Linked DNA regions of Nothobranchius furzeri. The protein of the gene in region 1 purifies or fractionates together with the protein of each later gene. This does not show direct contact. Links are inferred from orthologs where the notes say so. Each region holds a gene or a part of one and is shown on either strand. Other genes may lie near its edges.

What was found.
Region 2: the proteins of anapc2 (region 1) and anapc13 purify together in Homo sapiens (affinity purification with mass spectrometry; 3 studies listed by BioGRID and IntAct, counting the BioPlex papers as one, with this or other methods). This does not show direct contact. The link is inferred for Nothobranchius furzeri from reciprocal best matches to the Homo sapiens genes ANAPC2 and ANAPC13.

What each region holds. Positions count from the first base shown.
Region 1 is NC_091745.1:17,481,300-17,485,444, forward strand, and holds the start of anapc2 (anaphase-promoting complex subunit 2), read left to right. Parts: upstream 1-1,345; 5' UTR 1,346-1,528; coding exon 1,529-1,627; intron 1,628-2,150; coding exon 2,151-2,400; intron 2,401-2,569; coding exon 2,570-2,891; intron 2,892-2,969; coding exon 2,970-3,102; intron 3,103-3,167; coding exon 3,168-3,387; intron 3,388-4,145. Other genes in the region: E3 ubiquitin-protein ligase RNF25, read right to left, coding at 399-470, 685-797. UniProt on the Homo sapiens protein: Together with the RING-H2 protein ANAPC11, constitutes the catalytic component of the anaphase promoting complex/cyclosome (APC/C), a cell cycle-regulated E3 ubiquitin ligase that controls progression through mitosis and the G1 phase of the cell cycle.
Region 2 is NC_091744.1:86,652,769-86,656,919, reverse strand, and holds the start of anapc13 (anaphase-promoting complex subunit 13), read right to left. Parts: upstream 2,801-4,151; 5' UTR 2,600-2,800; coding exon 2,501-2,599; intron 1-2,500. Other genes in the region: pierce1 (piercer of microtubule wall 2 protein), read left to right, coding at 3,753-4,082. UniProt on the Homo sapiens protein: Component of the anaphase promoting complex/cyclosome (APC/C), a cell cycle-regulated E3 ubiquitin ligase that controls progression through mitosis and the G1 phase of the cell cycle.

The sequences.
Region 1 (4,145 bases):
AAATTAAAATATGTTTCTAGACATTTCTGCTTAGGACCAAATGAGAACCACTATTGTCTACTCAGTTTAATGAATACACTGGCTGCACTTTCCAATTCATCACTCAGTCATTTCCTGGAAAAATAGATACTATTATGTTTGTTTTGATTGCTAATAATTTTTTATACAGATGCATTTAATTCTGGTTGACTGTCATTAAATTAAACCCATGGTAAGAGTTAAAAAATATATATACATATATATAACATAATCAGCTGAGTTTTTTCCCATCAAATAGATTTGGGAGACATTCTTATCCCTTTGTTGCAAATATTTAACGTCTTCATATCATTATTTGCTCACATATAACCCAACCAGTGATTTATAACACAAAGATGTTCTGAAATGAGCAGATTTACCCCTCGTCCCTTCTGTCCACCTTCAGCTCGTCCAGATAGATGGACTGCAGAACCTCGATCTCAGACTGAACACTGTAAACAAAAACGGTTTTCGGCTTATTTACTGTTTTTAGCCTGGCCCTTTTGACGTAACCTGTTAGCTTCCCCTTCAGCTAGCTACAACACCTACGACATTTCATCCGATTGTACCGAGAACAGCAAACCTTAATGTGCGGGAGCGTGCGGGTAAAATTCAAAGCGTGTCATGAATATTTTGAAGGAATTTTTGCCATATCAACAAACTCACTCGTACTCGGTTGCCATGATGATGTCTCTGCTGCTAGCTGCTGCTAAGGCGGATACGGTTTTCACACAACCTGTCAAAATAAGAGACACGACGGCGTTTAAAAGACATGTCATGATCCAGTTTTTAAAAATGTTTATTTATTTATTTATTATTTATAGCTGTATTTGTGTGCATTAAGCATCTATGGTCTAAGGAGCTTTGTCTTCAAGCAACTCAAAGAAGTCCAGACGCTTTTCTTTCAAAGCTCCTTAGACTACAATGACCTGGATGACTGAGAACCTTCACAGACATTAAGCATCTATATTACTCTCTAAGATATGTCGAAATATTTATTGATATTAACATCCGTTTCGAAAGATTTTATTTAAATTTTATACAAAAATAAGTACAGTTTCATAACATTTGGCCTTTACTGACACCTGGTGGAGTTTGTATAAGCAATTTTGAAATGTTTTATTTTGTAGTTCAGTTCTGTCAACTTGTGTCTGTGGCCGGCTGTAGTGATTATTCTAACCGCTAGAGGGGGCGAGTAAACATTAAAACCGATTCAAACTCAACAAATACTTTTTACGGACGGTACCTGCAGGGGGCAGTGTCCACCCCTGTAGCATGTAAGTGATAAAAAAAAGTAGAAGAAGTCAACCCGCCATACCATGTTCATATCTGTATTGTAAATTACTATTTGCTTGAATGGAAAAGTTATTATTTAGTAAACTCGTTGAAACACGGTTGAGACACGGGGCATGCTTTTTACACATAGCGCCGCGGTAAGACAAGACATGCTGAGGTTTAAATGCTGAATCTACAGGAGCCGGTTCGGCATTTGTGAAGAAAGTGTCATAAAATGGAGGAAATGATGATGGAATCGGATTCGGTGGAAATGTCTGAGCCCGGAGCGCTCCAGGGGCTCGCTGAGGCGTGGGAATCCGTGACTGCAGCTTTGGTGAGTGGGTCAGAGCCTCGGACACGAGCAACCAAACACTGAATGAAGTGCTGTCACAAGACTCCATTCGTAAATCACACGATTGAATGATGTTTTGGATTTTACATTGGTTTATTAAGGGCTAGACACAAAACTGGCGTTATAAATAGTCAGCAGGAGTATTCGGTGGATTTCGGCTTACATTTGTTGACGTCATCGTGTTTACTGACAACTTTACTCCATGCAAAGAAAAATGGGTTGACTACTAACAACTCAATATTCATAAGTTTGAGTCAGCCATTTAGTTAAAAACAAACACAAATGACATGTCGAAAAAGGCTTATATTAAACACCTATATTATAATAAAATGTGTATTTTATGTTGGAAATGATTTTGCTCTTTTACTCAGTTCTGATTCCATCTCTCATCCATTCCTACATTAACCACCTGCCCCTGAATACCAGACATCCAGCAGCCCTTTTCTGGTTGGAGATGATTCTGTGGTGGATTTCATACCACCATTCTGTTTGGGTCCTTCTCTAGGTGTCTTCTGGATGCCCGGTGTCTGACCAGAGCCTCTCTGACTCCTTGCTTCTGCTCTGCAGTCATGGTTTGGGCCGACTGCTCGGGATCTGGCTGCTGGAAACTTTGCAGATGCGCCTGTCGTCCTCGGTGGTTCCAGAGTTCTGGTCTTGCCTGAAACAGCCGGAGAACGAGCTGGAGGAAAAAGATCGAGCATGGGTTCTCCTCACTGCTTTTAGGACTCTGTTGGACCGCCTGGAACCTTTTCTGAGCAAGTAGAACAAATACAGTAGTGATGACCTTGTCCTTGAATCTTTAAGATTTTATTCCAACTTCTAAAGTTGTTTGGATTTTTTTTGCTTTCCAGACTTTCACTATATTATTTTGTGGATAAAACCAAAGAGGAACAGGTAATTAGTTTCCCATCTCCCTCCATGCAGGTGGTTTGGAGAAGCTTGGGGCGTGGCAGGATGAGGGTCGTGGTGGTCTGTGTGGTCCAGGTCCCAGTGGCCTCCAGGAGCGAGCCTTCACCACCATCAGAGCCCTCCTGCTGTTCTCTCCTCCCCCCATTCTGCAGGAGCGAGTGCTGGAGTTTTACAGCAGGACTTTCTCCGTCTACATGAAACTGGAGGGCAGCGATGAGGATGTGGCCGAGGCTCCAGACAGCCCCAGTGGAGGGTCCTGCCCAGGGTGTGGGGTCCCGGTCCTGAGGTGCTGGTGTCAGGAGGCCCTGGAGCAGCTGCAGGAGCTCAGCCACATACTGTGAGAGGATCTCACTGCTGATTGTTTCTGCTGTTGCTTCGTCCGGATGAATGTTTGATCAGCTGTTTGTGTTTGTAGACTGAAGCTACAGCTGCTGGAGTGGGTCAGCTCAGAGGCCATCACCTGCATCCTCCACAAGCTCATCGAGCAGCGGATGGAGCAGCATTGCCGGGGCGAGTACGAGCGCTCCTTCTTGCTGGACTTCCAGGAGGTAAAACCCCTTTTCCACCGTTTCCTCTCCTGTCTTCATGTTCTGACGCTCTTCTGTCCCTGCAGTGGCTGGAGCTGGTTCTTGGCTGGCTGAGCAAAGTGTTCGCCAGTGAGGTGGACGGAGCCACTCCTGTTCCTGCTGCTCCCAGTGGTCCCATTCAGTCCAGCATCCAGGGCACCCAGCCTGCCAGCTCCATCATGAAGCAGTGGAGATGCCACATGCATCAGTTCTTCTGCAGGATCTACGTCAACATGAGGATCGAAGAGCTCTTCAGCATCATCCGAGGTGAGACCTGAGGAGAGGAGGTCATGTTTTATCTTCATTATGTGGCTGATGCAGTGATGGTTTGTTTGTGTTTATAAATAAGGTCAGAACGTTAAACCTGCTTTCTGAGGCTTTGTGTTTAACGTTATCAGAGATCTTCTGTGTTTCATCAGAGCAACAAGCAACCATCTGGTCATTTAGAGATAATTTAAAATGTTTAAATTTTTATTGTTTTAAATTAAAGGGACTGTACGGAAGTGTGACAGCCAAAACATGTATAGAAATAATAAATGTCTTCTTCATACATTCTCCTGCAATGCCCTGGTCCTGTAGAATGAGCCCTGGCATTTTTACTGTGATTGCCTGTTTTTCTGTAAAATCACAGAAAAAGAGAGATGCTCGGGTCGAGCAGGCTGCTTCATGCGCGTTCACGCTCAGGCATAGCCCGTAGCATTTGCTATCCGTAGCTTTAGCAGCAGAGAGAGAGGCAGTGCCAACTTCCTAACGCCTAGTAACAAACCTAGCTATATTTCTGAGGACCCTTAGCTACTTTCTGTAGAACTTTCTTCTAGATATTTCCTGCAAATTAGCAACAAAATAGCCATTTTCGCTTCGAACCGTTCTTTGAACGTTTCAGCTGTCATCAAGGATATAAAAGTTATAGATACTGTGAATGTTACTAGAGTGTAGCTCACCTTGTAAGATGTCTGACTCTCATGCAGAAGACCCGGGTTAGATTCTGGATGTGAACATAGTTTATTTAGAGTTTATTTTTTACA
Region 2 (4,151 bases), on another chromosome or scaffold:
TTCACCCAAACACTCGGGACCTGTAACAGGCGGTGGTCTGCTGATTGAAGAATTCGACCAGGTACGTAAGGCTGAACCATCGATATATATATATATATATATATATATATATATATATATATATATATATATATATATATATATATATATATATATGGACAATGAGTTTCCATAGGCTCCAATTAAAAGTTTTTGTGCCAAAATGGGAGGTGGCCACCACCGCCATTTTGACCGTGTCACAGGTTCCGTCAAGCCCAGACAATTCCACAAAAGGGAAGAGAGGCGGAGCTGAGGGTGGGGCTGTAAGGCTGGGATCAACTGACGACACCCGGTCAAACTGAAGCTAATGTAGCTACAAGCTAACCTGAAGCTAACCCAAAGCCAACGCGGAGGTGGGAGCTAAGCTAACGAAGGTAGCAATCTAGCTACAACCGGAGTTGAACTGGGCTGAACCAGCTGAGTCAAGTAGAGAGGCACATAAAGATAGTGACTTAAAAACAAGAAGTAAAATTTTAAACTGGGAGCCAGTGCAGCTGGGTCAGAACAGGAGTAATGTGCTCCCTCCTTCTGGTGTCCGTCAAAGGGCAGGCCGCCATATTCCACACCAGCTGTAGGCGCACAACCGAGGAAGACGTGGATCCATAAAAAGGGGAATTTGCATAATCCAAGCGAGAGACCACAAATGCATGGATCACTGTGTGCAGGTCGTGTCTAGTCAGGATGGACTTCCATCTTTGATAGCCGATGAAGCTGGAAAAAGTAGGATCTAACCACCTGGCTAATGTGGGAGTCCATCTGCAGCTCCGGGTCAAAAACCATCCCCAGGTTAGTGATGGTTGGCTTCACTAAGCTGCGAAAACAGGGTGGTAGGACAGGACTAACTGAAGTGGGAGAGGGAGGAACAAACAAGAGAGCTTCCAACTTAGACTCGTTCAGATGTAAAAGGTTATTATAAAGCCAGCCATTCACCTCATTCAGGCAATCCACAGCCAGCTGCACTGACTCTTGAGGTTTTAATGAAACATAAAAACACCAGAGGGAAGAGAGGAGGTTTCAGAGGCAAAATCCCCCAGCCTCACACAAAAACTTCTGTTGCTGAGGTACGATCTGAACCAGTTTAGGGCAGTTCCCTGGATGCCCACTACCTGGTTCAGTCGGGACAGAAGTATAGCATGGTCTACGGTGTCAAAAGCAGCTGTGAGATCCAGAAACACCAGTAGAACATGGGAGCCGGAATCAGTGGACCACAGAACATCATTAAAAACTAAGAAGGGCAGTCTCAGTACTATGACCGGGACGGAACCCGGATTGCAAAGGGTCTAAAAGGTTAAAAGTCTGCAAATGGTCAGAGAGCTGTGTAAAAACATCTTTCTCAAGAAGCTTAGATAAAAATGGAAGCTTCCAGGGAGGTGGAGTCCAAACCAGCTTTCTTCAAAACTGGTTGGACCACTGCCTGTTTGAAAGCCTGGGGGATAACTCCAGGGGCTTGTCTCACAAAACTCAGAGCTGCTCTTGTCCTCTGAATGGATTAAATTATGATATACTTCTATAAAATAAATGCTTTAAATATTATTAATGAGGGCTGTGCAGTGGTTAGAGCTGTTGCCTTGCAGCAAGAAGGTCCTGGGTTCGCTTCCCGGCCTGGGATCTTTCTGCATGGAGTTTGCATGTTCTCCCTGTGCATGCGTGGGTTCTCTCCGGATTCCTCCCACAGTCCAAAAACATGACTGTTAGGTTGATTGGTCTGTCCAAGTTGTCCTTAGGTGTGTATGTGTGTGTGTGTGCATGATTTTTTGTCCTGTGTGTCTCTGTGTTGCCCTGCGATGGACTGGCTCTCTGTCCAGGGTGTACCCCGCCTAATTGCCCGTTGACCGCTGGAGATAGGCACCAGCCCCCCCGCGACCCTACGTGGACAAAGCGGGTTCAGAAGATGGATGGATATTATTAATGACACATTGGGCACTTTTCTGGGCTGATCAGTGACATCACTCACTGCCAAAGCAGTCGTGACCCGCTGACGTCTGTGCAAGTTCTGAAAGGGCTGAATCTGAATGGAGACACAACAGCTGAGAGGACTGGGACATCCTATCTCCTGGTCAAGTTCCCCATCCCAGGAACTACCCTGGAGTTCTGGTAATGGAAACATGCCTATTGTGACATCATATGGTGCCAGCTGACATCATAGGGTACCTCTTAGCCAATAGCGATAGCAGATTTAAAATTACCTGAAGAGGGTGTAACACTGACAGTTCTGGGCAGAATATTTAAATTTTAACTAAGATGCTCTAAAATGCCAAATTATTGACTACATGTGTCTACAGCTTGATTAGACACTTATTTATGTATTTTATCAGCAAAAAGAAATTGATTTGGGGGTGACTTGCTCTTTTTTATAATTCACAAATGATTTATTTTGAACTTCGGAATGGTCATTTGAGGGATACGTTACCATTTGTTTAACCACACTGTATTTTAATGCAAACACGTTTAACGTTTTTACCAAGGGGATGGTGACATCCTCATACGGTAGTTTGTCTTCTCTCCAGGCATCATCAGTCAGATCCAGGACTCTCCCGTCTCGTTGAATTTCACTGTCCATTTCAGGTTCAGCAGCTGAAACAGCTCTCAACAAAAACCCACTCAACCTCGCAGGGAAAGCTGAAGTTCATCGAAATAAAAGAAGAGAGCAGCGGTAAATAATTTCGATAGAATATACACTTAGAGGAGACGCTACGCTTAGCTCACAGTAAACAGACGCTTAATTTAGACGTAGGCGTCGACGCTTGATGATGACGACACAACGATACCTTCAGGTGCAGTGGAGAGTTTCTGAATTTTTTTACAAAGCCAACAAAGTTCTATATTTTGACCAGCAATTTAATTCAGTCTGATTTATTCAATGTTGTTGTTTATCAATAAACCACTCTGTTATAAAAGTAAAAAGCAATCAAAACTAAAAAAGATGAACGATTCCGTTTCCTTCGTCTAAGTGGTTTCCATGGAAACCAGACGCATCGTTTTTCTTGACCCACGGAAGAGCTGGCGACTGGCGAGGCCTGATCAAAACAGCGCGGACATTTTTGCGGTATTTGTGTATTTTAAGGTAATTAGTATAACAATGTACGCAAACAGCGGAGGCCCTAGTAAGCCTCAGACGCATCTAGTTATGTATGTATCCAATAATCCTGTAAAAATCCCTAGCCGACTACTTCAAAACAGGAAATGTTAGCTAAACGTATTTGTCTGTGGGTGCGTGCGTGTGTGTGTGTGTGTGCGTGCGTGTGTGTGTGTGTGTGTGTGTGTGTGTGTGTGTGTGTGTGTGTGTGTGTGTGTGTGTGTGTGTGTGTGTGTGCGCGCGTGTGCGGTATTAAAGATGTGGTTTATTTGTCCTCAGATTTTAAATGTCACTAAATAATACTGTTTGCAAAAAGCACTCACATAGCCAAAATTTTAAAAAGCTAATAATAATGCAAGCTGTTTATAATTTAACAATATAATTTTAATATTAATTTTATATATTAATAATAATTTTGTACTTTTTCTAAGCAAACACACACACACACACACACACAAATATATATATATATATATATATATATATATATATATATATATATATATATATATATATATATATATATATATATATATATATATATATATATGTAACTACTGAAGTTGACTTCAGCAGGATTGGTCCTGTAGGGGTTGAGTGTTGTAAACTTTTCTTTTACTTTGCAGACACTCCAGTGATGTCCCTGTCACAAGAGCAGCAGACAGAAATCACAGAACTATGCACTAGCCCTGGAAACCCAGCAGTCTCTTCCATTACCACCTCGGCAACTAGAAGCATGAAATCAGCAACAAACCCAAACATTGGAAGGATCCTGTACAGGACGACTTCAAGTGCCTATGGCAGTTTCCCTCCGACCCCTGAAAGCTCACCTCACTCCTACCACCCAAAGTCTCACAGATTTACTAAGGAACAAAGCAGAGGAGGGATGTACCAAGATAATTCTTTGAATACGGCCCTTGACCGGAGCAGGGTGCATGACTGTCCCAGTTTACATTACACCCTCTGAATTTATATTTGACTTCATTTAAATGATTTAAATGGATAAATAAAAATTGGATGATTTGCAGCTTTTCCT